7 linked regions of the Macaca fascicularis genome follow. The protein of the gene in region 2 interacts with the protein of the main gene of each other region in a pairwise test. Links are inferred from orthologs where the notes say so. Each region holds a gene or a part of one and is shown on either strand. Other genes may lie near its edges. The genes, in order: JUN, ATF4, CCDC106, BFSP2, SNAP29, EGLN3 and DDIT3.

Evidence for each region.
Region 1: the proteins of ATF4 (region 2) and JUN interact in binary tests that used the Homo sapiens proteins (3 or more experiments, as listed by UniProt). The link is inferred for Macaca fascicularis from reciprocal best matches to the Homo sapiens genes ATF4 and JUN.
Region 3: the proteins of ATF4 (region 2) and CCDC106 interact in binary tests that used the Homo sapiens proteins (3 or more experiments, as listed by UniProt). The link is inferred for Macaca fascicularis from reciprocal best matches to the Homo sapiens genes ATF4 and CCDC106.
Region 4: the proteins of ATF4 (region 2) and BFSP2 interact in binary tests that used the Homo sapiens proteins (3 or more experiments, as listed by UniProt). The link is inferred for Macaca fascicularis from reciprocal best matches to the Homo sapiens genes ATF4 and BFSP2.
Region 5: the proteins of ATF4 (region 2) and SNAP29 interact in a two-hybrid assay, tested with the Homo sapiens proteins (2 studies listed by BioGRID and IntAct). The link is inferred for Macaca fascicularis from reciprocal best matches to the Homo sapiens genes ATF4 and SNAP29.
Region 6: the proteins of ATF4 (region 2) and EGLN3 interact in a two-hybrid assay, tested with the Homo sapiens proteins (2 studies listed by BioGRID). The link is inferred for Macaca fascicularis from reciprocal best matches to the Homo sapiens genes ATF4 and EGLN3.
Region 7: the proteins of ATF4 (region 2) and DDIT3 interact in binary tests that used the Homo sapiens proteins (3 or more experiments, as listed by UniProt). The link is inferred for Macaca fascicularis from reciprocal best matches to the Homo sapiens genes ATF4 and DDIT3.

What each region holds. Positions count from the first base shown.
Region 1 is NC_088375.1:175,918,076-175,922,223, reverse strand, and holds JUN (transcription factor Jun), read right to left. Parts: upstream 2,801-4,148; 5' UTR 1,823-2,800; coding exon 818-1,822; 3' UTR 62-817; downstream 1-61. UniProt on the Homo sapiens protein: Transcription factor that recognizes and binds to the AP-1 consensus motif 5'-TGA[GC]TCA-3'.
Region 2 is NC_088384.1:12,124,644-12,128,457, reverse strand, and holds ATF4 (cyclic AMP-dependent transcription factor ATF-4), read left to right. Parts: upstream 1-1,183; 5' UTR 1,184-1,376; intron 1,377-1,980; 5' UTR 1,981-2,072; coding exon 2,073-2,298; intron 2,299-2,399; coding exon 2,400-3,229; 3' UTR 3,230-3,314; downstream 3,315-3,814. UniProt on the Homo sapiens protein: Transcription factor that binds the cAMP response element (CRE) (consensus: 5'-GTGACGT[AC][AG]-3') and displays two biological functions, as regulator of metabolic and redox processes under normal cellular conditions, and as master transcription factor during integrated stress response (ISR).
Region 3 is NC_088393.1:63,601,615-63,605,554, reverse strand, and holds the start of CCDC106 (coiled-coil domain-containing protein 106), read right to left. Parts: upstream 2,801-3,940; 5' UTR 2,710-2,800; intron 2,239-2,709; exon of another isoform or gene 1,864-2,238; intron 1,406-1,863; exon of another isoform or gene 1,299-1,405; 5' UTR 1,254-1,298; coding exon 1,223-1,253; intron 1,093-1,222; coding exon 988-1,092; intron 892-987; coding exon 715-891; intron 1-714. UniProt on the Homo sapiens protein: Promotes the degradation of p53/TP53 protein and inhibits its transactivity.
Region 4 is NC_088376.1:36,333,195-36,337,234, reverse strand, and holds the start of BFSP2 (phakinin), read right to left. Parts: upstream 2,801-4,040; 5' UTR 2,776-2,800; coding exon 2,287-2,775; intron 1-2,286.
Region 5 is NC_088384.1:31,834,204-31,837,703, reverse strand, and holds part of SNAP29 (synaptosomal-associated protein 29), read right to left. Parts: intron 814-3,500; coding exon 617-813; intron 1-616. UniProt on the Homo sapiens protein: SNAREs, soluble N-ethylmaleimide-sensitive factor-attachment protein receptors, are essential proteins for fusion of cellular membranes.
Region 6 is NC_088381.1:101,740,303-101,743,802, forward strand, and holds part of EGLN3 (prolyl hydroxylase EGLN3), read right to left. Parts: intron 648-3,500; coding exon 528-647; intron 1-527. UniProt on the Homo sapiens protein: Prolyl hydroxylase that mediates hydroxylation of proline residues in target proteins, such as PKM, TELO2, ATF4 and HIF1A. Target proteins are preferentially recognized via a LXXLAP motif.
Region 7 is NC_088385.1:64,327,937-64,332,184, forward strand, and holds the start of DDIT3 (DNA damage-inducible transcript 3 protein), read right to left. Parts: upstream 2,801-4,248; 5' UTR 2,686-2,800; intron 2,615-2,685; exon of another isoform or gene 2,580-2,614; coding exon of another isoform or gene 2,517-2,579; intron 1-2,516. Other genes in the region: DDIT3 upstream open reading frame protein, read right to left, coding at 2,517-2,579. UniProt on the Homo sapiens protein: Multifunctional transcription factor in endoplasmic reticulum (ER) stress response. Plays an essential role in the response to a wide variety of cell stresses and induces cell cycle arrest and apoptosis in response to ER stress.

The sequences.
Region 1 (4,148 bases), on a different chromosome or scaffold from region 2:
TCTTTCAACTCCACCTAGATAGCTAGTATCTATAGATGATGCAGAAAAGAGGTTAGGGGAGTACTTTTCAATAGTTTATTGTATTTTCTTAAATATCCTTTCTGGAATTTTCAGAAACAAAACATAAAAAAATTATATACTTTATTACAAATGGTAAACTCAGAGTGCTCCAAATCTCTTATTTACAAACAACACTGGGCAGGACACCCAAACAAACAAACAAGAAATAACTTACAAAGGCATGAAGCTGTTTATTGACAGTAATCAGCTTTCATCAAATTAAAAAATATATATATGTACATACACAGTTAACGAAGGCAGGCCAGAAAGAGTTCATCTGTAGGCTCAGCCTCGCTCTCACAAACCTCCCTCCTGCCGCCCCTCCCCAGCCCTCCCCCCCGCTTTGTGTTCTTAATGAGTACTACAGAAGCAATCTACAGTCTCTATTGCAGTTTGTAACCCCCTCCCCCTCCCCCCTTTAATACTGAATGAGATCGAATGTTAGGTCCATGCAGTTCTTGGTCAATGTTAACGAAAAGTCCAACGTTCCGTCCGCGCGGGGACAGCCCGTCCGCAAAGCGGGGCAGCCCGCAGGCGGCCGCTCCCTGGCTCCACGCCAAGGGAGGGCGCGCCAAGTCCTTCCCACTCGTGCACACTGGGGGCGCCGTCAGGACGCAACCCAGTCCAACTTGGATACCCTTGGCTTTAGTTCTCGGACACTTCTTTTTTCTCTCCGTCGCAACTTGTCAAGTTTTCAAGTCTGTCTCTCTGTGTTATTTTTTTTCTCCGTTGCCCCTCAGCCCCCAACAGTCTCTCTTCAAAATGTTTGCAACTGCTGCGTTAGCATGAGTTGGCACCCACTGTTAACGTGGTTCATGACTTTCTGTTTAAGCTGTGCCACCTGTTCCCTGAGCATGTTGGCCGTGGACGCCAGCTCCGAGTTCTGAGCTTTCAAGGTTTTCACTTTTTCCTCCAGCCGGGCGATTCTCTCCAGCTTCCTTTTTCGGCACTTGGAGGCAGCAATGCGGTTCCTCATACGCTTCCTCTCCGCCTTGATCCGCTCCTGGGACTCCATGTCAATGGGGGACAGGGGCGGCGTCTCGCCAGGCATCTCGGGCACTGTCTGAGGCTCCTCCTTCAGGGCTTGCAGCCGCGGGTGCTGCACGGGCATCTGCTGGGGCAGGTGGTGCGGCGGCTGCGGCGGCGGCTGCTGCTGCTGGGGTTGCGCGGGAAAGGCCAGGCCGGCCGCGCCGTAGGAGGGCGCCCCGCCGCCGCTGCTCAGCGCGCCTGGGTTGAAGTTGCTGAGGTTGGCGTAGACGGGCGGCTCGCTGTGCAGGCTGGCGCTGAAGCCTCCGCTGCCGCTGCCCCCTGCCACCGAGGCTACCGCTGGAGCTACCATGCCCGCCCCGCTGACCGGCTGCGCCGCTGACGTGACGCTGGGCAGCGTGTTCTGGCTGTGCAGTTCGGCCAGGGCGCGCACGAAGCCCTCGGCGAAGCCCTCCTGCTCGTCTGTCACGTTCTTGGGGCACAGGAACTGGGTGGGGGTCGGCGTGGTGGTGATGTGCCCGTTGCTGGACTGGATTATCAGGCGCTCCAGCTCGGGCGACGCCAGCTTGAGCAGCCCCACGTCGGGCGAGGTGAGGAGGTCCGAGTTCTTGGCGCGGAGGTGCGGCTTCAGGCTCCCCACTGGGTCGGCCAGGTTCAGGGTCATGCTCTGTTTCAGGATCTTGGGGTTACTGTAGCCATAAGCTCCGCTCTCGGACGGGAGGAACGAGGCGTTGAGGGCATCATCATAGAAGGTCGTTTCCATCTTTGCAGTCATAGAACAGTCCGTCACTTCACGTGAGGTTAGTTTGGGCTGCGTGCTGAAGTTTCGGGGCCGCAACAGCGCTCTGGCAAGCGGGGGACACCCGTGCCCCCCGGGGCCTTTGGCAGGGAAAGTTTCTCTAAGAGCGCGCGCACCCGCTGGTTGTCGTCCCCGCTGCGCCCTCCTCACCAGCTCGCTCCAGGGAGCGCAGGGTTAATTAAGATGCCTCCCGCACTCTTACTTGTCGACTCGCGCGCGCGCTACCCGGCTTTGAAAAGTCGCGGTCACTCACTGAGCGCTCTTCGGGCGCCGCCGTTCCTTGGAGTCCGCGGGCGAACTCGCTTCCCAGAGCAGCGGCTCTCCCGGCGGCGCGGATCAGTGCCGACCCGCAGAGGCCGACCAGCGGCGGGTCTCGGCCGCCCAGACTCCGACGACTTGTCCCCTCCTCCGCTGCGAGGGGGAGGGGGCGCCCGGCAGCCGCGGCTCGCGCTCGCCCAAGTTCAGCAACCGGTGCGAGCGAAGCTGAGCGCACGTCCTTCTTCTTTTGCGTGGCTGTCCGCCGCCTCCTGGTCTTTACCGCCGCCGAATAGCCTAAGACGCAGGAAAGGCTTGCAAAAGTTCGCTCCGGGACTCTGGGCCAGTTGTCTCCGGCCCTCCGGGCCGAGAAAGTTCTTTGCTGCTGCAGTCGCTCGCCGACTTCCCCCGGCGGGCGCGTGGGTACCGCTGCTCGCCACCGCTGTCAACAGCGCCTGGGCAGCAGGGCTCTCCTCCTGGGGGCGGCTGGAGACCAGGCTCTCTGGGCACTCCTCGTAACACCAGCCCGGGAGCCACAGGCGCTAGCTCTGGGCAGTTGGAGAGAAGGTGGAAAAGAAAATAAGATTTGCAGTTCGGACTATACTGCCGTCCTGGCTGGCTGGTTGTGTCTGTCTGCCTGCCTGAGTCCGCGCACCTCCACTCCCGCCTCGCTGCTTCAGCCACACTCAGTGCAACTCTGAGCCCTTATCCAGCTCGAGCTCAACACTTATCTGCTACCAGTCAACCCCTAAAAATAGCCCATGATGTCACCCCAAGGCCTTCCCATTGGCTCGCGTCGCTCTCAGGGGGGCGGGCCCGCCCGTCACCATGGAGACTCCACCCTAGAAGATTCTTCTCTGGGCCCGCGGAGGCTCACGGGATGAGGTAATGCTCCGCTGCCCTCCTACAGTCGGGCCCTTCTTTCTCCTACCCTCCCCCCTGCCGCACGCCTCTCGGCCCTCTCTTCCCCGGTCCCCTCCCCGGGCCGTTTTTCCCGGCCCGCCCGGTGCATTGTGGGCTGACGTCTTGGGGTTTGACTGTCTAGTGACGGTGGCTGCCGCGAGCGGGCGGACGCTCGCAACATCTGACGGAGGGGGCTCAAGTTCACGGCTGCGGACTGGGATGCAGGGGATGCGGGGACCCGGGAGGCCAGGGAACCCGGCCAGTTGTTTTGGGTCAAGGGTGCGGGCGAGGGGTGGTTGTGTTTCCCCACTTGTGGGGCTCGAAGTCATCCACCGGCGTCCGCCACCGCGCGGGGCGGGAGGCTGAGAGTCCAGGTCCGCCGCCCCCCCGCACTTCCGGGGGGCGGGAGCGCCGCCCTTAAGGTGGCTCTGTGAAGTCCCAGTTGGGGGCGAGCCTAAGGGGGCTTAAGTTTGGGGGCGGTCTCCCGAGAGTCGGCCCCCCACGTTGAGAAACGCTGCGAAGTTTGCATCTCGGTCAAGTTCAGGAGCGATGGTCCGCGGGGTTGTCTGGCTGCTCTTAGAAGCTGAGAGATTTGTATTGCCCAAAACTGGACGCTCAGCTGAGTCTCCGTTGCACCCCACTTCATCCTCCGGGACCGTGGGGGAAAGGGCGCGGGGGATCACAGCTTTGCCTCCGAGGGGCAGTTTTTATAGTGGGCGCAATTAGTGGGTAACAGGGTCCAGATGGGAACAAGCGTGTAGGCGATCCGAAACTCGGGGAACCCCGGTGTTAGTCTACTCCCCTTCCCGCCCCCGGACAACACACACACGCTTAACACAACACGCACAACATGCGCGCGCGCGCACACACACACACACACACGCACACACTCTCCACCCGCGCCGAGTTGCTTCCGGGAAAACAAGCTCAGAAGGCGGGGGACACTCGCATAAAGTAACGCAGTAGAACTCAGGAGCCCGGGGTAGAACCTGGACTTCAAATCTCCACCTTCCCGGCCGGGTGGTGGGCCCATATCCTGAGTAGCCTCTAGGAAGCGCTAGACACATGTAAGTGGTTCCTTTTCCGCGGTTGTTATTTTATCTTCCCCCCGCCCCCCACCCCTTAGGGACGAAAGTGTGTGGTG
Region 2 (3,814 bases):
CCGAGCACGTGGCCGTGGGTTCCCAAGCGCCTCTCCTCCCAGGGCCATGGGCATGACCACTGAAAAGCGGGTTAGGCCGGGGAGTTCAGAACCCGGAGTGAATCGAAACTACCCCAGGTAGATGGCAGCGAAGAAAATTCTGTTCTTAGGGGAACGCAATCTTCGGACACCAGAAGTTCCCCTATGATGCTATTCTGTGGCAGCCTCGCACTTGAGCCGGATGAGAATTGTAAAAACCCAGGTTGGGCGACAGGACGGCGCGTCTTCCCGGCTCCTTTCCAGAGTTTAGACGGAGCCATGCAGACTCAGCTGGCCTTTGAGTGTAGGTGGGCAGGCCCGAGGCGCCCTCTCGAGACCCCTTCAACCTCCCGGGGGCAGCAACACCGTGTCGGCTATGAATGGCGTCTCTGGAAAACTCAGGCTTGGAACAGGTAACCCCGCGGTTTCCGCAGGCCAGAAATTAGCCCCCGCAACCGAAGGACGCGCAGGCTGGGAGTGGCGGCGGGGCCGCCAGTGGCGGACCTCCACTGAGGGCGGCGGGACCCGACCGCAGGGGCTGGGCCCTGAGGCCACTATGGGGTGCGCTAGGCTAAGGTCTCCTGGGGGCAGAAGCCAGTGCGATTGTAGCTGGCCAGCAGGCTGGCCGGCCTGAGGCCTGGCAGAGACCCGAGACCCCGACCCTTCCCACGCGGACTCCGTGATCCCTCTCCCAGCAGCCGCCCACCTGGGGCCCTGAGCCAATAAGAGCTCGAGGTATATATGACTCACCGTGCCTGGGCCAATCAACTTGACGCGCGCTTTTCGCCAGCACCTCGCGCGATAACTTGGCGTCCTCGGCCTTCACAATAAAAACTCTCCGCCGGAAAACGACCTCTCCCCGCCCACCGCGCCGACACCGGAAGCGAGGCGTGTCTGCGAGATCACTCCGCGCTCCGGCGGCGAAGGAAAGAACGGACTCTGATCATAGAAGTAAAGTAGTGCACCTCTCTCGTTTCGTGAGGTCATAAGAACAAACACCTTTTCTCGTCACAGCTACGCGCTGGGCATAAACGGTTGGGGCGTCAAAGGGAGGGAAACGAGCGGGCGGGAGGAGATGGTCACGTGGCCGTGGCGGAAGGATGCGTCGGTGCTGCGTCCCCTTAGAGACGAAGTCTATAAAGGGCCGGCGGGCGGCTGTTGCGGCCATTTCTACTTCGTCCGCCCACAAATGTAGTTTGGTTCGCACGTGTGCGCCTTCCCTCCTCCCCGCCCGCAGGGTCCACGGCCACCATGGCGTATTAGGGGCAGCAGTGCCTGCGGCAGCATTGGCCTTTGCAGCGGCGGCAGCAGCACCAGGCTCTGCAGCGGCACCCCCCCCCAGCGGCTTAAGCCATGGCGTGAGTACCAGGGCGGGTCGTCCAGCTGTGCTCCCTGGGCCGGCGCAGGTTTTGGGTTGGTGGGGTGCGGCCTGGGGCCCAGGGCGGTGCCGCCAAGGAGGAAGCGATTTTACGAGCGCCCGGGACGCGTGGTCTTTGCTTGGGTGTCCCCGAGACGCTCGCGTGCCCGGGATCGGGAAGGCGCATTCTGGTGCCAGGACTGCTTCCACAGGGGCCCTGCCGCCCTCGGACCCCGAATCCCCCAAGGGTCCCAGGGGTCTCGGCTTTCCCCCCCCGCGAAACGTGGCAAGAACCAAGATGGCGGCGGCAGGGCGGCGCCGCGGGCGTGAGTCAAGGGCGGGCGGTGGGCGGGGCGCGGCCGCCCTGGCCGTATTTGGACGCGGGGACGGAGCGCCTTCCTCTTGGTGGCCGGTGGAAGAATCGCCTGGTCTCCGTGAGCGTCCATTTTGTGGAACCTGAGCCGCAGCAGGGAGGGGCGGATGCAACTGCCCCGTTGCCGACTCTGTAGATGGCTGGACTAGAGAAGTCCCGCCTCGTAAGTGGAAAGATGAAATTCTCAGACCAGCTAACCTCTAATGGGAGTTGGCTTCTGATTCCCATTCAGGCTTCTCACGGCATTCAGCAGCAGCGTTGCTGTAACCGACAAAGACATCTTCGAATTAAGCACATTCCTCGATTCCAGCAAAGCACCGCAACATGACCGAAATGAGCTTCCTGAGCAGCGAGGTGTTGGTGGGGGACTTGATGTCCCCCTTCGACCAGTCGGGTTTGGGGGCTGAAGAAAGCCTAGGTCTCTTAGATGACTACCTGGAGGTGGCCAAGCACTTCAAACCTCATGGGTTCTCCAGCGACAAGGCTAAGGCGGGCTCCTCCGAATGGCTGGCTGTGGATGGGTTGGTCAGTCCCTCCAACAACGGCAAGGGTGAGTGGGCCACCACCACATCGTCTGGGTGGGATCTAGGGTTAGGGGCCTGTTATCTTTGTATCTGACTCACTTGGCCCTGTCATTCAAATCTTTTGCAGAGGATGCCTTCTCCGGGACAGATTGGATGTTGGAGAAAATGGATTTGAAGGAGTTCGACTTTGATGCCCTGTTGGGTATAGATGACCTGGAAACCATGCCAGATGACCTTTTGACCACGTTGGATGACACGTGTGATCTCTTTGCCCCCCTAGTCCAGGAGACTAACAAGGAGCCCCCCCAGACGGTGAACCCAATTGGCCATCTCCCAGAAAGTTTAACAAAACCCGACCAGGTTGCCCCCTTCACCTTCTTGCAACCTCTTCCCCTTTCCCCAGGGGTCCTGTCCTCCACTCCAGATCATTCCTTTAGTTTAGAGCTGGGCAGTGAAGTGGATATCACTGAAGGAGATAGGAAGCCAGATGCCACTGCTTATGTTGCCATGATCCCTCCGTGCATAAAGGAGGAAGACACCCCCTCAGATAATGATAGTGGCATCTGTATGAGCCCGGAGTCCTATCTGGGCTCTCCTCAGCATAGCCCGTCTACCAGGGGCTCTCCAAATAGGAGCCTCCCATCTCCAGGTGTTCTCTGTGGCTCTGCCCGCCCCAAACCTTACGACCCTCCTGGAGAGAAGATGGTAGAAGCAAAAGTAAAGGGTGAGAAACTGGATAAGAAGCTGAAAAAAATGGAGCAAAACAAGACAGCAGCCACTAGGTACCGCCAGAAGAAGAGGGCGGAGCAGGAGGCCCTCACTGGCGAGTGCAAAGAGCTGGAAAAGAAGAATGAGGCTTTAAAAGAGAGGGCGGATTCCCTGGCCAAGGAGATCCAGTACCTGAAAGATTTGATAGAAGAGGTCCGCAAGGCAAGGGGGAAGAAAAGGGTCCCCTAGTTGAGGGTAGTCAGGAGCGTCAGTGTGCTTGTACATAGAGTCTCTGCTGTTGCTGTGTGTTGGAATAAATTATTTTGTAGGGAAAGTACTTGTGTGGATTCTTTTTCTGGCAAATTAGCCGAGTGAGGCGCCACCCACCCATCCCAAACTGGTCATAACATTCCTTGTGAGATCTGGGGAGGAGGGCAGTCCAGGACTGAAGATGGGTACCCAGAGTGGGAACTGCTCGCCCTGCTAGGTGTAAGCCACGATGCCTGATGACTCATGGGGCCATACAGCCAGATAGTTGGCCAACTGTAGCAAGTTGGGTCCTTTACCCAGAGGTGAGTTCGCTGGTTGTGTAGGGAGGAGGCTGGAGCTCTCTGGGAGGTTGGGAGGGAGGGACAGCCTGGGCCTCCACCTATTTATTCAAGAGGGCTTCATGCCAACAGCTGTCGCCTGAAACCCTGGATAAGCTTGCACAGTCCTTGAGATAAGCACACAAGATTAGTTTTCACTTGTTACCCTGAGTTCTGTAGAAGCGTGTTCCTGAAGAAAGAAATGGCTCCTTTTCGGAATTGATGCTGAAGCAGGACAGGAGCTGAG
Region 3 (3,940 bases), on a different chromosome or scaffold from region 2:
GGGCTGCTATGGGAGCTCTCCCGGCTGCTTCTGGCCATGAATTATAGCAGAGCAAGGTATGTGGGCGGGGACTGCCCAGGAACCTGGGGCAGGGTTTGAGGAACAGCACCTGCTGGGGTCCCCACCCAAAAAGGCCCACACAGGAAGAGCCTTAATGTCTTTCATGAGGAAGGAGAACTCATTAACCAAGGATGGGACAGGGTGGGTGGGAAGATGGCCCCTGGTGTCACACGGGGACGGGGGGGACAGGAGGAGGCTGGATGGCTGGACTCTTGGATCTTGGAGAAGACAAGGCCAGGAAGAGGATCAGGGGCCCCCTGAGGAAACCCAAAGGACTAGGGTGGGCCTCTTGGCCAAAGAGATGAAGGAAGGTCCCCCTAGGAGTCAGAAGAGAGGGACTCTCAGGTTCCAGGGTCCTGAAGTCACCATAGGCCAAGGAAGCAGATGGCAGGGCACTGGAGGCTGATGGGATTTGGGGAGCTGAAGGAAAAAGCAGGAGGACAGGCCCCAGTAGACAGTTCATGGGGATGAGGTCCTGGACATCAAGTGAAGAGGAAGCTGGGCCTGGGGGCCCAAAACAGGCAGGGGACTAGCAGAGAGGGCCAACATGGCAGGTCCCACCCAGCCAGGCAAACTGTGGAGCCTCGAGTCTGGGTGAGCGGGTACCCAGTAGCGGGACAGGGAGGCAGGTGGATCAGAGCACCCCACACATACCTGCCTCCATCCGAGCAGAAGAGATGAATTTGTCCAGCTGGCACCGCAGGAAGTCCCTCTCTTCCTCCAGGTCCTCGATGCGCTTCTGCAGCCAGGAGTTCCTCTCCAGAGCCATGTGCAGCTGGGCCTTGACGCTGTTCATCAAAGCCAGGGCGGGGGACGCAGCCTCCGGAGGCTCTAGGGACACAGCGAGGGTGGGGGGACCAGGTCACACCCTGGGACTCGGCCTGGCTTCCCAGCTGACTCCAGTCCCTCCACGCCCCCTCGGCTCACCCTCGAAGTTTCCCCGAGAGGGGCTCAGACTGTAAAAGATCTGTGAGTCTAGGTGGGGCGCCTCGTCGAAGGGGATGGAGATCTCGAAGGTCTCATCGTCCTTCACTGGAGAGGAGAGGCCCCGGGTCACCCCAGAGAAGTCCCGGGCCCCTCAGACCACCCCCCAACCACGGCAGCCTGGAGCCGACCGACCGCACCGGGACCCAGGGTAGGGAAGGGGACCCAGCTTCCTCACTTGTTCGCCTCCGGCTGCTCCGGTCATTCATGGCGTGGCTTCCTGCGGACCCCAGCAGCCGAGGGCCTCAGGGGCACTGGACAGAAACAGCAGCCACAAATGGAGGGACGCGGATGGACTCGAGGGTCCATCCTGGGGGAGGTGAAGTGAGGCAGGAAGGACCTTCTGGCCTGGATCCCTGGTCTGAGGGAGGAGGGAGCCCAGACCCCAGGACTGAGGCAAAACACGCCTGGGCTTCAAACTCCTGGGTTCCCAGAGCCAGGGACAGGGGGCCCAGCCACCGAGGTCCTAGGGGAGAAGTGAGCTGGGGACGTGGGCTCCTGGGTATCGAAGGAAAAGGAAGCTGAAGCCCTAAATTGCTGGGTGCCCCAAGGGGTCGCCTGACAGGGACACCTGGCCTGAAGGGGAAGGACTCTCATCGCGGGCCACCGCCAGGCCTAAGGAAGAGGCAGGTGCAGAGGGAAACTGCCCCAACTTCCCAGGGTAGGAGGAGGTCCAGCCCGTGCGCGCTGCCTCCCCTACCTCCGGGGTCCCACACCCCTCCCCCGCACTCGCGTGGGCGTGCGGACCCTCCCCCGGTGGTGGGGGCTGGGCGCGTGCGCAGTACGGGGAAAGGTCACGCGTGGGGATGCGCCGCCCCCGCCCTTTGTCCCGGGGGTGGGAGGGGGAGCAGTCGTGGAAAGATCCCAGCGGGGGAATGCATCAGGGCGGGGGTGCAAATACGGTCACCATCCCCCGCCCGCGGGTGCCCGGGGTCCGAGGGGCCGAGGCCCCCCGCGCTCACCCACCCGCGCGCGGAATCCGACTCGGGGACCGACGGCGGCGGCGCCCATGCCCGGCGCCGGGGAGCGTCTGCAAAGTGTCACGGGAAGCCGAGGGAAGCGCCCACCCACCCGCGAACAGGCGGGGCGGCAGGGGAGCGAGTCGTGGAACTGAGCGACGGAACGGGTACGGACGCGGGGATTCGCCCAGTCGGGCCAGACTAGCGCCCCTCGTTGGAGAGTCCCCTGGTCCAGGTGAGGCCCGCCGTTTGCGGCAGAAGCAGAGGGTCTGCACTTGCGCGATAGCCCCTTACGGCACTCCCCCGCCCTCCCCGAAGCTCAGGCAGGGAACGTCAAGAAATTCCCATTCTGGAGAGCTGGCGAGCCTCCGGGGGTCCCCGGATTGGGTGGCGGTGGGCCCAGTGGGCCCAGGAGAAGGCAGGAGTGTGTGAGACACCGGGAAAGTTGGAGCGAAAGGAGAATCTACTTTTAACGATCTCAGGAACTAGCCAGCGCAGACCCCCCAGAGCTCCCCCACCTCCTACAGCCAGACCCCAAGGTTCTCAGGGATGTGGGGGCCAAAATGGGGGGAGTTACCCCTCTCCAGAAAAACGAGGGGCAGGAACACGCCACCACCCCCCCATGTTGGTAATTAAGAGCTGGCTTTGGAACAGAGCTAGATTCCAGTCCTGACTGTTCCTGCTCCTCCCCAGCCTGTTAACTCACCTGTAAAATGGGGAAATTACAGGCCCCTCTACATTTCTTGTGAGGACACAGTGATGGGACACACAGCTCAGCCCAGCACCTGGCCATAGTCAGGGCTTGAGAGAGGAGCGCTGCTGGTATTATTTGAGGTCAGATGGTGGGGTATGATCGTAACCTCTGGGAGGCTCTTTCCTTTCCCACTCTGGGGAGTACGAACGGAAGATTTGTTCTTCCTCCCAAAAAAAAGAGGTCGGAAGAGCAAATGAGGCCTAGCACAGTGCCTGGCACAGACAGGCAAGAAAAATGAATTAATAAGCAGATGTTTATTTAGCTTCAGGCTCAGCTCCACCTGCCTCTCCTGTTCACCAGAAGCATCCATGCTCTGGACTCTGGCCAGCCCTTAGGAGAGCAAGGTCTTAACCCGATGGAGGGAGAATCTAAACGTCTGCACCGCCTGCAAAGCTGTACCCATGATCCTCCCCTCCCCACTTCACTTTACAAATAAACTGCAGCCTGGTCCAGAAATTCCAGGGGGAGCCACCTGCCCTAGATTAGTCTTTTCCAAACTATAGGTTCATGGGTGGAGAATTCAATAGAATAGGATGAAATCAGCAGTTTAAAAAAATATGTAGCTGGGCGTGGTGGTGCGTGCCTGTAATCCCAGCTACTCAGGAGGCTGAGGCAGGAGAATCGCTTGAACCAGGGAGGTGGAGGTTGCAGTGAGTGGAGATTGCACCACTGCTCCAGCCTGGGCGACACTGCGAGACTCCATCTCAAATAATAGCAGCTAATGAAAAAAAATCTACACATACTAAAGCTAACTATGGTAAAGAAACTTTTGTTTCCAGGCCCAGGGTCCTGAGGGAGGCTGAGGTGTGTGGATCACCTGAGGTCAGGAGTTCGAGACCAGCCTGGCCAACGTGGTGAAACCCATCTCTACTAAAGGTACAAAATTAGCCGGGCATGGTGGCACATGCTTGTAACCCTAATTACTTGGGGGGCTGAAGCAGGAGAATCGCTTGAACCCAGGATGTAAAGGCTGCAGTGAGCCAAGATCTTGCCATTACACTCTAGCCTGGGTGACAAGAGCGAAACTCCATCTAAAAAAAAAAAAAAAAAAGGGAAGGAAACTTGGTTCACATATATTTTGCATATCTGTGTACTCTATTACCATATAAAATGTGTTTGTGATAGGAGGTTGTGGTTTTAAAATTGTTTCAGCTTAAAAACATTCTTCCCAGATGACCCAGGT
Region 4 (4,040 bases), on a different chromosome or scaffold from region 2:
GGTGGATCACCTGAGGTCAGGAGTTCGAAACCAGCCTGGTCAACATGGTGCAACCCCATCTCCATTAAACGTACACAAAAATTAGCTGGGCATGGTGGCATGCGCCTGTAATCCCAGCTACTTGGGAGGCTGAGGCAGGAGAATCGCTTGAACCTGGGAGGTGGGAGGTTACAGTGAGTCAAGATCACACCACAGCACTCCAGCCTGGGTGACAGAACGAGACTCCATCTCAAAAAAAAAAAAAAAAGAAAAAAAGAAAAAAAAAGAAATAATAACTCCATTTTATCAATTGGTCTAATTTCAAGGCCATGAATTTTTTAAAAAAGAAGAAAAAGAGAACTTTATTAATACCCAGGACCTCATTTACAATCACTGAAGAGGAAAGTGAGCCCATGTGAGACCCTGGCCCTCAGCTACAGAGGTCGCATGTCTTGGTGTGTGGCTGCGGCGCTCACAGGATTTTAGAGCTTCCTAGTCTGTACTCTACCTGTAGGCAGGAGCCAGTCATCTTATTTGTCTGTGGATTTGCAGGAATATCTAAGCATTATTATACCCATTTTGTAGATAATGAAACTGAGGCCCAGAGAAGTCAGTACGTTGCAAGGGCTCTTGTAGCTATCTGGAGCCAGAGCAAGTCGGTATCTGTTGAGTATAAACTAAGTTTTGTGGCCCTACTTTTTAACCTAGCCATTGGGACACCTGATTTCTCCTGACAAGTCTGTGTGGCATCTGAGTGCAAGCGATTGTCCAGCAGATGCTGACATATTGGAGTATCTAGGGATGTTCTGGTGGTTGTTATGGCACAATATTTGGACAGTTGTGAAGAATCCTGGAGGAATGGCTGCCTCTTAGATTTGACAGGCATTAAGGCCCTGGACTATTCTAAGATGGCTCTCCCTCGCAGCCCGGATGGATGCAAGCAGAACAGCAGCACCAGGGGGAGAGCCTGAGAGGATGGTGCTGCTCATCATGCACTCTGTGCTGTCAGTGGGCACTGAGAGCAGTGCAGGAGAAGCATCCTGGGACGAAATGGGAGGCAGGAAGGGCAAATGGGGAGTCCCTGTGTGCACCTGCTTAGCATCCCCCGGCTACACACAAATAAAATTTTGTGACTTCCTCTTGGGAGGCTGCATACTAGACTCCAGTGGCAGTCCCTGGTGGGTTAGAGACTGATTTTGCTCAGAGTGATCCCAAGACCAGCGTCTGGAGAGAAAGAGGAGGAGAGAAGCCAACCATCCACAGAGAGACCAGCTGAGAGGTGCAATGCTGGCTGGAGTCCCAGCATTAGAACTACAGGCTGCAGGCCAGACATGATGGATGAGCTCCAGACTCTGCAGAAATCACCCTGGAGAGTGGGAAACGCAGGGCTGACCAAGCAAGGGAGAAAGATGAAACCTCTGCATCCTTCCCTGTCCAATAAGATGGCCATTAGCTACCCATGGCTGTTTACATTTAAATTAATGAAAATTAGATAAAACAAAAACGCAATTCCTCAGTCTCATTAACCACATTTCAAGTGCTTGATAGCTATATCTGGCTAGTGGCTGCCAGATTGGACAGTGTAGATATAAGATATTAATATTTCCATCATGCAGAAAGTTCTACTTGAATGTAAATTATCTCATTCATATATTTTGTATTGATTACATGTTGAAATAACATTCTGGACATATAGAGTTAAGTAAGCTATACTATTAACTTCACCTGCTTCTTTTTACTTGTTTTACTGTGGGTAATAGAAACTTGTTGATTACCAATGTACCTCACATTTCTATTGAACAGGGTGATTATAGGTGGATACAGGAACACACCTCCATTTATTCATTGTTCTTAATACCACATCCATCCAATGGTATTTGACTGTAAAAATCCCTTCTCAACAGTAAAGGTGACTGAGGCAGCTCAGGGTAATGGGGCACATGCAACTTTGAAGGCACAAAAATTCAGATTCAAATCTCATCTTCATCCCTCTACTAGCTTTGAAGTCTTGGGAAAATTACATGCCTCAGTTTCTCATCTCAAAAGTGCAATCAATGAATGATCCACTGCATAGCATGTCTTCAAATTGTAAAGAAGACAGTGGATAGTGCACGTATGGGGGCTAGCGTGGGCTCCTGGTAAACCTTGGTAAAAAGGAGCATTGTTGTTATCATGAACATTTTAAGTGTGAAAGTGTAGGGCATTATGGTCAGTTTCTCTGGCCTCAGCCTACTCACAACCTTACTCCTGCCCTCAGCAGCCCCTCCCAGCCCTCTGCAAAGCCCTTGGCACAGCCTGGACACTTACCTGCTGGCAGCTGCTGGCCCAGGAAGCCCGTAGGGCACCCCAATTTCCCGAGCGCGTGGCCTTGCTCTCCAGGTGCATCCGCAGTTGTGTTTCCAGCTCCTGACTGACTTGTTCAAGGGCATGCACTTTGGCCATATATTCCACCAGGCAGCCCCCTAGGTCCTCAACAGCACCATGGTCCCTCTCCAAACCTGGAGCCGGCACTGTGGCCAGGCCTGAGCTCCGCAGGCCCTGAAGGAAGACACTGCTGATGCCGAGGGCCCGGCGGGTCACACGGGCACCCAGGCCACCTATGCACCCACTGGGTGCTGTTCCTACATAGACCCCAGGTGCTCGGACAAGGCCACTCATGGCATTGGTCCTGGAGGCTGGGGGGCTATCCAGGGAGGATGATGACCGTGGCCCCCTGAAGGATGCCCTGCGCCTCTGGAGGGGCATGCTGGAGCTGGCACTGGGGGGCAAGTCCACTACTACTCGCCTCTCGCTCATCACCCCTTCTGCCTCTGTGGCGCCCAGTGGGTTTACAGAGTCCAGTGGCTTTTGGTTTACAGCCCCAGCATCCCTGTGGCCTGGTCACGGGCCTCTCTGGAATCTCCCCTATCCCCGGGGCTGCTTTGTCTGCTGTCTTCCATGAGTTTCCATCATTCACTGAGCTGAAAGAGAAGAGGGCACTGCCCAGGGCTGTGTGCAGAGAGGCACTCATGCATTCTTTGATGCAGGGTCATGTGCCCAACCTCCCAGATTATTCTGCTGGTGGTGGGGGAGGCTGGATCAGTGCAGGCTGTGGGGGTAGACCATTTGGGTTTGTACATTTTACTACCTAAGAGTGGGCAAGGCAGGCATCAGGCAACCCCATTTTACAGACGAGTAAACTGAGGCTCAAGGACCTCAGATCACAAGTGTGGTGATCACTTGCCCCAGACCTCAAATTACAAGCTAGGACTCAATCTAGCTATTTTGGGGCTTTCTACATCCCTATGTGTACTGGCACATGTGAATGTGAACACATGTCCACACAGGCAATGGAAGATGAAAAGTGTCAGGAGGCAGCTCCAGGGACCCAAGAGAAAAGACTTGCCTACGGTTTCCTCTCTCAGTCCTGACAGCAGCTTCAGGTCCTTGCCTCGCCTCTGTCCTTTCCTCCTCATCTCTGTCCTCTAATGCTCTGCTGTTCATCAGCTGCTTGCTGTTGGCCAGGATGCTTCCTCCCTCTGGACCTCACTGTTTGAACATTGGCATGAGCCTCCAACTCTCTGATGCACCAGATAAGGACCTTGGGCAGATTCAGGTCCCACACATTATGTTCCAGCCATTCCCTACACCTCTGCTTCTCCATCTGTTGGAAAACTGAGAAAAACAACAAAGACGGTGTTTTCTGGTAAGCTCTCCAAGGGTGCCCCAAGTTAGGATATGATGACACCCCTGGGTTTTAATTACTGACCTTGGCATCCACTAAACCATCAAGGGTCACACCTCAATCCATTCTCTAGGGTCAGAAAGGTTCCTCCAGTTTCAGGATGACAACATGGACCTAAAAACCGCTGTACATAAGTTTTACCCTGGAGAAACCAGGTCACCAAACCCCAGAGCTGGATATTTTTCCAAATGCTGTAATGTAGGAATGTACCTCAGGTGAGAGAAGGAGAAGGGAGCCAACCTCTAGTGAATACCTGATCCAGCCTGGTGTGTGGATGAATCGTATAGTTTATTTCATGGAATTCTCAACTCAGCCTCAGGAGGAAGGAGGTCCAGGG
Region 5 (3,500 bases), about 20 Mb from region 2:
ATTTTTTTTTTTTTATTTTTTTGAGACAGGACCTCCCTCTGTAGCTCAGGTTGGAGTGCAGCAGCACCATTACAGCTCACTGCAGCCTTGACCTCCAGGCCTCATGCGATCCTCTTACCTCAGCCTCCTGAGGAGCTGCGACTACAGGTGTGCACCACAATGCTTGGGTAATTTTTGTAAAGACTGGGGTTCCACTATGTTGCCCGGGCTGGTCTTGAACTTCTGGACTTAAGCAATCCACTCACCTTGGCATCCCAAAGTTTCGGGATTACAGATGTGAGCCACTGCACCCAGCCCTAAAGACTTTTTAAAGGAAAAATTATGTGAAGTGAGTCACATTTGTACTGATTACGCTGAGGCGAACACCCTCTCTTTCAAAGTAGTGGGGTCACAACTATCGGAGAAGCAGTTGACAGATTACATGTCAATCAAGTGAACATGGGAACACGGAAGAACAGTTTCTGGCTTCACAATGTTTGAGGACAAATATCCTGATGAGTAACTTAAAGGGTTGCTGGATCCCTTCATGACACTGACGTGGACTGAAAGCAATTGGTCATTTGCACTAATCCCCACTTCTGCTCCTTTATACCCAGATGGTAGAAGACACACTCACCTGCTGTTGGGCTGGGAGGCGAGGGTGCCATTCTGTTCAGGTGGGGCCTCTGCTGGTTTGGATTTGAAGTAATTGACGAGCCCCCCAAACACGCTCTTAATGCTATTGATGTGTTTCTGGCTGATCTTCAAATCTTGGTCCATCTTGTCCACCATCTTCTCTGTGCGCTCCAGGACTCCTCGCTGACGGACAAGCTCCTGGGGAAACCAAGAGGCGGTGGTATTATAGCTTTCTGTGACTCTCCCCTAGGGCAGTCAAGGACCACATGGAGCAGCCACTTCATAAACTCTCAGTGGGCACATCTGGAGACGGGTACTATCATCTGTGAGGGGCACACTACCCTTTCCAACAACACGTTCCTTTGCCTCTCCCTCCCTGCCCTACCTCTGCTTGCTTTCCTCATTTGTTCATGAGACCCTTTTCCTGAGAGGCTGGTTCACGGCACCATGTTAAGATGGATAGCAGAGGCCTGGCGCAGTGGCTCACGCCCATAATCCCAGCACTTTGGGAGGCCAAGGTGGGCAGATCACGAGGTCAGGAGTTCAAGACCAGCCTGGCCAACATGGTGAAACCCCTGTCTACTAAAAATACAAAAAGTAGCCAGCTGTGGTGGTGGGTGCCTGTAATCCCAGCCACTCGGGAGGCTGAGGCAGGAGAATCACTTCAACCTGGGAGGCGGAGGTTGCAGTGAGCTGAGATTGTACCACGGCACTCCAGCCTGGGCAACAGAGCAAGACCCCATCTCGATGCTGGGGGCAGCGGGTAAGATGGATGGCAATGTGCCTGTGAGGTTCAGAGTCCAGGGCCTGAACTGGAAGCAGATTCTCTCTAGCCCACCAATTCTGGGAACCCTCACAGACTGGGGCCTGGCACTGCCACCTGGACTTTGGTTCTTATATTCCTCCTTTATGAAGTTCCCACTTTAGGAGGTCCCAGTGGGCCACCTGAGCCTTCTGGCCATGGTCAAATCCTCGAATTCTATTTCAGGGACCAGTGTCCCTTCTGGTCCTATTAATGTCTGACTCTAGTTCATCCGCAATTCCAGCTTTAAAACCTGTTAACATGTGTGACCCTGTCCCAGGGCCTTTGCACACACCACTGTCTCTGCCTGTAATGTTTTCCATCCGGATACTTATATGGCTCAGCCTCTCATCCCTCATCCAATTAGGGTCTCCTCTCAAAGGCCACTCTCTGAGAGAGGCCTTCCCAGACATCTTCCCTAAAGGAGAACTCTTTCCAACCACCAACCCTCTTCTCCACATCCTTTTTTTATTTTGAGATGGAGTCTCGCTCTGTCATCCAGGCTGGAGTGCAGTGGCATGATATTAGCTCACTGCAACCTCTGCCTCCTGTGTTCAGGTGATTCTCCTGCCTCAGTCTCCAGAGTAGTTGGGATTCCAGGCGCCTGCCACCACGCATAGCTAGTTTTTTGTATTTTTGGTAGAGACAGGGTTTTACCATGTTGGCCTGGTGGTCTCGAACTCCTGACATCAGGTGATTCACCTGCCTCGGCCTCCCAAAGTGCTGGGATTACAGGTATGAGCCACTGCACCCAGCCTCTCTTTTCTTCACAGCATATGAGCTCCAGGAGGCAGGGACTTGCTCTGTTCACAGATGAGTCTCTGCAAATCTGCCCAGTGGAGACGTGAGTGATGCTCTCTGGCCACAGTGGCAGCCTGATGGTCCCTCCAGAGCTAAAGGTTCTGGTTGTGGATATACATCCACCACAACAGGAACACTACCACTTTCCTTTATTTATGACAAACTTGCTTCAGTCTCTGCTTCAGAACTGATCTACGGCTGCGGCCCATCTGTTGAGCTGCCTTTCCAGCCAGAAGGCTCTCAAGCTTCTTTTTCCTGCTCTCAGGCAGCCTCTGCCCTCAGCTGCCTTCCTCTGAATCTGTTATCCACGCATCACCCTGTGGCTTAGCAATTACACTAACTATGCAAATACTTTTTTTTTTTTTTTTGAGACCGAGTGTCGCTCTGTCGCCTAGGTTGGAGTGCAGTGGCGCAACCTCGGCTCACTGAAAGCTCCGCCTCCTGGGTTCACACCATTCTCCAGCTTCAGTCTCTCGAATAGCTGGGACTACAGGCGCCCGCCAACACGCCCAGCTAATTTTTTGTATTTCTTTTTAGTAGACATGGGGTTTCACTGTGTTGGCTAGGATGGTCTCGATCTCCTGACCTTGTGATCTGCCCGCCTCGGCCTCCCAAAGTGCTGGGATTACAGGCGTGAGTCACCGCGCCCGGCCACAAGTGTTTTTTAGATATATTCTCTCTTGATGCCTAAAAACAAAGTTAAAAAAAAAAAAAAAAAAAAAAAGCTTTAATCGCTGAAGAGTAAAATGCAACTGTAATCAGAAAAGCAAAATGCAACTATAAATAAATGGTTGTGGCTTCCTTAAAGTCCTTAAGGAATCAATGTGTAACCTAAGTCCTTGTTTAATGGGTGAAATTTAAAAACATAATGTATACGCAAAAAGCTAAAACACTGGTTGAATTTACTATTAAACTTTAACTCTTGCTGGAAATAAACTTAGAACCGCTGAATTTTACAGCTTTCAACATTTACATTTTTCGCCAGTTCACAAGACATGTCTGAAAAAACCATCAGCCTTTTTTAACTAAAAAGAAAAATGTTTTCTGGACTGTGTCAGTCAGTATGTCAAGCAAATCTTGCAAGAGCTAGTTTTCAAAAGAAAAAAGAGCTGCTAACATATCTGGTGTTTCTGCTTCTTCCATTACCTCAAGTTTATCATCTTCATGTCCATACTGTGGTCTTTTCTGGAATAAGGCAGAGCTACACATTAGGATTAAAGAGATTTTCTCCAGCATCTACACGTTTTTCTAACAGTCCAGTTCCAGCTAGCTTTGCAGGCTG
Region 6 (3,500 bases), on a different chromosome or scaffold from region 2:
CAAAAATAAGCCACAAAGCCTTTGGCATTCACAAACCATAGTAAGCCATGGCAAGCAGCGATCAATGAGACATATCACCCTGAGGGAGAGGACTGTGTGGGAAATCTCTCTTGGGGATGGTTTTATATCCTACAGTTCTATTTTTGTGGAACTTTCCCAATGCTGCTTCTGGGAGGGAAAAGTGTACATCTTATTCTGCATTGAGAGTCAGAGCAACTCTGATTTAAACTGAAAAAAATTAATCATTAATTCTAATATCAAATTACCTTCTCTTCATCAACCACCCTTCTCAGAGGTAGGGTTAATAATCACCCTACCTATCCCCCTTCAAATTAACTTCATTATTTTCTTCTTAACAACTTTAGTACTAATTCCACTGTCGCAGGAGGTTATGAAGTGGAAATAGAAATGTTTCATCAGTGGGAGATAGGGCAACTATGAACCCAATATAAACTCTCCTCTAAGTTATCTGAATCATTTTCCTATAGTTTTTAACCCCACACTCTACTCCCATTATTCAAGAGTACCTTGGCATCCCAATTCTTGTTCAGATAGTAGATGCAGGTGATGCAGCGACCATCACCGTTGGGGTTGTCCACATGGCGAACATAACCTGTTCCATTTCCCGGATAGCAAGCCACCATTGCCTATGGAGAAATCCCAAGAAAGCTGGTTAACAAAGCTGAGACAGACAATCTTCTCCTCCCACTGGTGAGCAGATAAGTAACACAGTCTCCTTGGGTGCTATGTGACATTTACAGGTAGTTGCTGGCTTCTTAATTTCATGTATGGTACATAAATTTGGACCCTTCTGTGCATAAGAGTAATGGCCAGGTCATACTATGGCTCTGTCCAGTAGAAAGTAGTTCAACAATATTCCCAAAGTTCTAGAACATTTTACACAGTCTTTCTTAAAGTAACCTAACTACATGCCCTATTTGCATAACCTATTTGGATGCCCTGCCTTTCTTCAATACTCGTTTTTAGAAAAGCAGTTTCTAGTTTCCCATGCTAGACCTACAAAATCAGAGTCACTAGGTGTGGAGCTTAAGGATTATGACTGTTTAGCAAGTGCCCCTGAATCACTCACACTGTTTCAGAACAATGGCTAAAGGTACTTGCATACACAAAGTGACAGAACCAATCACCAAAGGAGGAAAAGGTCAGGCTTACTCAATAAAATGCTTAGGATAGAAGGAACAGAGGAAGATCAATAGGAAGCCACGCCCTAACTTGTTAACAAAGACAATACAGGGAGATTCCTTTCAGGAAAAAAGCCATGCATGTATCTTAATATGTGTTTCTTAATGCATGTCTTCTTCCTAATAATTATCAAATCAGGTGATAATCTGAAGCTCTCTTTGTCTAACTGCTACCTGTATCAATCAGGTGGAGGAATAAAGTAGAAAGCCATACCAAAAATCCTACTGAAAATTACTATTAGAGAAAACAAACCTCTAATTGTTCCATGGGAAAAACTGTAACAGAGAGTGGGGAGAGGGAAGAAGGCAAAGTACAGAAAGCCAGTTCTTTTCTTCACAGGATACTGCCATGTTTTAACAATATTTTTTATAGGGATGCAGTAGGTGCAAGGAAAATATTGGAACCAACAACATAAGATGAGAACAGGGAATTTTTTTCCTATTCTACTCACTGATGTATTCTTAGCACCTAGGACAGTGCCTGACATATAGAAGGTATCCATCTAAAATGTGATAAATAAATCAATGAACTAGTGAATGGCTCTTTCTCTAAAGAGTAAATTCACGTTTTACCAAGATCAATAGCTATTTCTGTCATTTTAAAAGACCTATCTTCAAACATACATGTAAGGATCCAGTCCATAGATTTCCTGATAAATGGCAGCATTGCTTCATCGGTAAAATGACCATTTGAGTACAGCCCCAAGCTAATGGGCTAGTGGTTCAATGAATCAACTTGAACGTGGCTGCCGAGTCACTCTCAATAGTAGCATGAAACTACTGCTCCTATGACATGGAACTAGGCATCACACACCTTGCATACTAGATCGTGCATACCAGATCGACAATAAGGCTGAATAGTAACTTGACTTCACAACAATTTTAAATCTTAAATCACCATCTCCCTCAAACTCCATATCCTCATGCAGCAAACAATCCCCATATCCTGCCTTTGAACATGAAAATGTCAATGCAATGTCATCCTTAGAGCTCAAGTTAGGCTGTTAGCTTGAGCATCTTTCAGAAGGTGAAACTGTGAGGCAACATCAGCAATAAAGGTTTAACAAATGAAGGTACCACTAAGCAAAGCATGGCTTGAGGAAGGGTGATTGGTAGCAAACAGAATTGAAGGGCCTAGCAAGAGAAGAAGAGATAAATAAAGTCACCTATAATGACTACAGAATTACCCACCCCTGGAAGCAGCTATTAGGATTATAAGAGCCACCACAGAGCCAATAATGAAAGTCGCTTAAGCCACAAACAATTACAGGCTGGATTCACTATTATCTCACGCTCCCCCCACTGAGTGTGTCTGAAAAGAAAAAGTACGACATCAATGCTATAATCTTATATGCTGAAACAGCTCTTCTCTAAGGAAAAGGTCAGTGGTCTGGATGCCTACCATAGTTCACTCTGCAACTAACTGTGATCCCAGGCTGTCTCTTTCCTATAAAGAGGGGATTGGGTTACACATCTGTCAAAGGCCCAAGAAGATCTAAGACTTGATCTAAGCATCAACCCTTGAAAAAGCAACATCGTTCTTCAGGTCATTAAGGAGTGTTTCTCTGCCTCAGAACTCAGCTCAGATTAAAATATTGGGGAAAAAAAAAAAAAAGATGGATACAAACTCACAAAAGTACACCCTCTACTAAATGCTGCATCTATAAAACACACAGAGACAAACAGCCAATTCCAGAGGACTTACTATTAGGACAAAACCCCTACATGTCAGCAAAGTATCTGTCTGCTTAAGAGGGAGGAACAGAGATAATTTTTCTGGCCAGAGTGAATATTCACCCTCTCTCCTGGTTCCAGAAACCACATGCATCAAGTTGGAAACAATGGAAGGAAATCATTTCAAGCATCAGTGGGCCAGTTGAGGCTACATTCGGCCAATTTTATCAGTGTGTTTTCTGGATGAGTGCCATAGGAGATGGGTCTTTGCTTGGGCACATTCCCAACTATTTGCTCGTCTTTGACAGGGTCTAAAACCATGAGGCTAAGGATGCACCAAGAAGCAAGCCTGACTTCAATAACTAGCCATTCACTTCTGTGCCAATTTGTGCACGGGGCAGTAACAAACTCCGGAAGCAGATCCGTCCAACTGAGTTGCTATCTAAACCTCATCAAGCCGGGGAAGGGATTTAGTGTTTAACAGAAGAGAAGTCTTCAATGCTGTATTGTTAAAAGAACGGGCCAGAACAATTTAATGATCATATAACAAACATGCCAAGCAATAAACTGACACATGTCAAGAGGATGCCTACTTTAGTACAGGCTTTTTTATTTTCTAAAACT
Region 7 (4,248 bases), on a different chromosome or scaffold from region 2:
CAACCTCTGCCTCCAGGGTCAAGCGATTCTTCTGCCTCAACCTCCCAAGTAGCTGGGACTACAGGTGCATACCACCGTGCCCAGCTAATTTTTGTGTTTTTAGTAGAGATGGGGTTTCACTGTGTTGGCCAGGATGGTCTCCATCTCTTGACCTTGTGATCTACTCGCCTCCCAAAGTGCTGGGATTATAGGCGTGAACCACCATGCTGGGCCCTTATTTTTCTTTTATCTCCAGCCTCCTACTGGTCCGTCCTTACTTCTGGTCTTGTGGGGTATGCATACTTGGTCCCTGTAGCCATTTCCAAGGGCAGAAGAGGGCCTGACTTTATTTTTAGTTGCTGACATTTGTAGTCCTGGTTACATAATAGCAAAGTTCTGGCCAACTCAGCTTTCTCTAAATTCAAGGCAGGCCTTAAACCTGCCAGGGTAAAGACTAAACTATAGGGAAGGGAACAAATCGTAGCATTTTCCTAACTCCATTCCCACACTGACATCCTGTAGCATTTTCCTAACTCCATTCCCACACTGACATCCTCCAAATGTGTATTTCCAGTCTGGACCTCTTCCAGAACTTCCGACTCTGCTGTCTACTGCCTACTTGCCATTTCTTTTTCAATGTCTAATAGGTACCTAAGACTATGTGCAAACTTGTTGATTTTCCCCTTCCAAGGTCATCCCCATCTCAGATGACAACTCTAGTTGCTTAAGCTAAAAACCTTGGTATCATCCTTCATTCCTCTCACACCCTGCAATCCAAAGTACTAGCAAATTTTAACTTTTTTTTTTTTTTTTTTTGAGACGGGTCTCCCTCTTTTTGCCCAGGCTAGAGGGCAGTGGCACAATCTCCGCTCTGCAACCTTTGCCTCCTGGGTTCAAGCGATTCTCCTGCCTCAGCCTCCTGAGTAGCTGGGATTACAGGCATGCACTACCATGCCTGGCTGATTTTTGTATTTTTAGTAAAGATGGGGTTTCACGTTGGCCAGGCTGGTCTTGAACTCCTGACTTCGTGTGATCCACTCCTCTGGTCTCCTAAAGTGCTGGGATTACAGGCATGAGCCACCATGCCCGGCCCTTAACTCATTCTTTAAAAATGAGTTTTTAAAACTTTGCTTAGAAGAATTTAAACACCTCTAATTCCATTCTTTCCAATCTAGATCAATTCACCACCATCTCTCAATTACTGCAGAAACTTCCTGATTGCAGAAGGTCTTCCCATTTCTTCTCTTGCCACCCCTCCGTAAGTCTATTCACCATACAGCAGCCTGAGTGAACCTTTTAAAACAGGTCATTCCTCTGCTCAAAACTCTCCAGTGACTTCCTATGTCATGTCAGGGAAGTCATTGGAGGGTTTTGAGAGGAGGAATTACCTAAGGTAATTCCTGACCACCTGATGTAACACAGTAACCTCCATCCTGAACATTCTCCATTCCTTTCTCTGCTTTAGCTTTCTCCATGGCACTTATATTTTGTTTACTGTAGGCCTCCCACTGAGATGATTTTTTCCTCTTGCTCACGGATGTTCCCTGAGCCCCAAACTGTTTGGCACACAGTAGGTCCTCATTAAGTATTTGTTAAGAATGAATGAATTCTCCCCAATCTCTCTTATAGGGAAGGGGCAGACGCAGAGTGGCAGCTGCCGATCCCTAGGGACTGGAGATGCAATATTGCCCGAAATATTTCTCTGCAGGGCTGTCTTCCCTGGGGAACCCTCCCTTGCCTTCCAGTGCGTGGGACTTGGCTTTCATCAGCAGTGGAGCCTCAGGTCAGAAGGCTGCAGAGCCAAACGGGGCTGGCCTGATGCAATGGTTACACAGAGATTAGCTGGGAGACAGGACCGGGTTAAAGAGGCAGGGACTAATCCCGAGGGAAGGACGATACCCTGGGGAGACCCCAAATGGCCTCCTACACTTAAGAGATCCAGGCTGCTCTCTTGTGCGGGAGGCCCAGAGACCTCTACGGCAAAGGGAAAACACACCGCTCCCTGTCCATCGGCACCCCTCCCAAAGGCTTGTGTCAAGGTTCCCCTTTCAGCCCTGCAGGGTCCAGTAGCCCCAGCTACCGAGGTGGCCATGCTGACACCAGAGACGCTGAGACTGAGACAGGATTGGGGGTAGGGTAGGGAGAAGGCCGATGGTGGCGAACGGGCGGAAACGGTTTGAGCGATGGTAACTCAGTCTTAGAGCGGGGGTGTGTCCTGCTGCCTCCCCGCGGACAGGCCTAACGAGGTGGCCTGAAGTTGGCTACGGGAGAGAATGAATTTCCCTAGGGCAGCCGAGGTCCCTTTGCCCAGCAGCACAGAGCAGGGCCCATGCTCCGGCTCCGGGCAGGGGTGGAGAGACGCTGTCGTCCGAAGCAATGGGGGTTTGTAAGCACCACCCCAGAATAAGGGACTCTCCCCATTCCTCTCTCGGACGGTCCCTGACTTCACTGTGGAGGCGTGAGGCCAATCCTAAAGAGCGGATGCCCCAACTCTGAGGAGACGGGAGGGCAAAGGGCAGATGGGAGTCAGTACTCGCCTCTCTCCTCAGGTTCCAGCTCTGATTTTGGCTCTGTCGCTGCCACCCGCTCATCTTCAACATGATACGCTCAGTGCCTTAGACTTAAGCCTCTGACCTCGGGAGCGCCTAGCTGTAATCTTTTACCATGGCCTTGCCCTCCTCTCAGGGGCGGGACCCCAAAACCTACCAATCAGAAAGTGGCACGCCGGCATTGGCCCCGCCTCGTCCCTCGTATCCGCCACTCAGGAGCTCCGCAGAACCGCCCCCGTCGCTCCCTCTCGCTAGGGGGTCGACGTAGTGTCGGACCCGGAAGTGGCTTTGGGTCACGAGGCTTCACGGAGGCGGTGGGTGAGTCATGCGCGCGCGCGGAGGGGAGTGTAGCGGGGGGAGGGGAGGAAAGGGGGGCGGGGATGATGCAATGTTTGGCAACTGGTGTCTGCACGCGCACGCGCAGGGGACTACGAGGGTGGTGGGAGGTGCAGAGGGTGGGGGAAAGGAGAGAGGGCGGGGCGCCAGCTCCCGGCGCCCAACGGCCCCAACGGCTATCAGCGTTGGCCGTCCGTAGTCGGTCGTGTGGAGCCTCTTTGCCGCTTGTCTCCCCCAGAAGCTGCTGTTCCGCCCACCGAGCTTTAGCCGGCGTTTTACCTCCACTATAAGGGACTCCCATTTTCCTTGGCCCCTCCCAGCTAATGGTCATATAGGCCTTTTGAACTTTTCCTTTGAAAGTTGGTATCCATCCACTGGGATTGTCGACATCTCGAGAGTCTTAGAGAGGTCTCCGGGCTCGGTGACTCATGCCTATAATCCCAGCACTTTGGGAGGCTGAGGAGAGCGGATCACTTCAGGTCAGGAGTTCCAGATCAGCCTGACCAACATGGTGAAACCCCGTCTCTACTAAAAATACAAAAATTAGCCGGGTGTGGTGATGCGCGCCTGTAATCCCAGCTACTCTGGAGGCTGAGGCAGGAGAATCGCTTGAACCCTGGTGGCGTATGTTGCAGTGACCGAGATCGCGCCACTGCACTCCAGCCTGGGTGACAGAGCGAGACTACGTTTCACCGAAAACGAAAAACAAATAAAAAAAACCGGGGTCGTCTAGCCCCGTAAATCTCCCAAAAGGGGCCGAGGTACTGGAATCCCTTGGTAGTCATTTTCCGCTTCTCTCACAACAGCGCCCTTGACTTTTACCTTGGAGTTGCTAAGCCCTCAGCCTGCCAGAAGTCATGTATTTTACCCAGTGGACCCAATTCTGTTTGGCCACCTATTTTCCCCCACTATACTCTTACGGCTTTCTCCAATACCAAGACCCTCTCTTGCTGTACCAGACAGCAAGTCCTGTGACTCCCTGCTGTGAGGAGCGCGGCACAGGCCTGCCTCCTAGGTGTTCGGGTCGAGATTTACAGCGGAGTCTCATCCTGGGACGTGTAAGTGCACTTCAGCGCAGGACCGCCGTGGACTGGGGAGACCGGGGCCGCGATTTTAGCCTCAACTCCCCCTCACTTACCAAGGGATCTTACCGTCCTTGTTTGTAAATCAACGAGTTGTAAGGGTAAAATGAGAACCATGAACTTGGAGGCAACTTGAACAAAAGTAAAACGCACCACGCAGAATGCAAAGTATTTTTCTTGTGCCTTGAAAACAGAGGCCATGTGGTGGCCTGTTACATATCCTGTCATACCCTCATGGGGGCAGCCAGAGTTTAAGTAGAAACTGTCACAAGGCCGGTTGTGACTGGAGTGGTGTTTCTGTG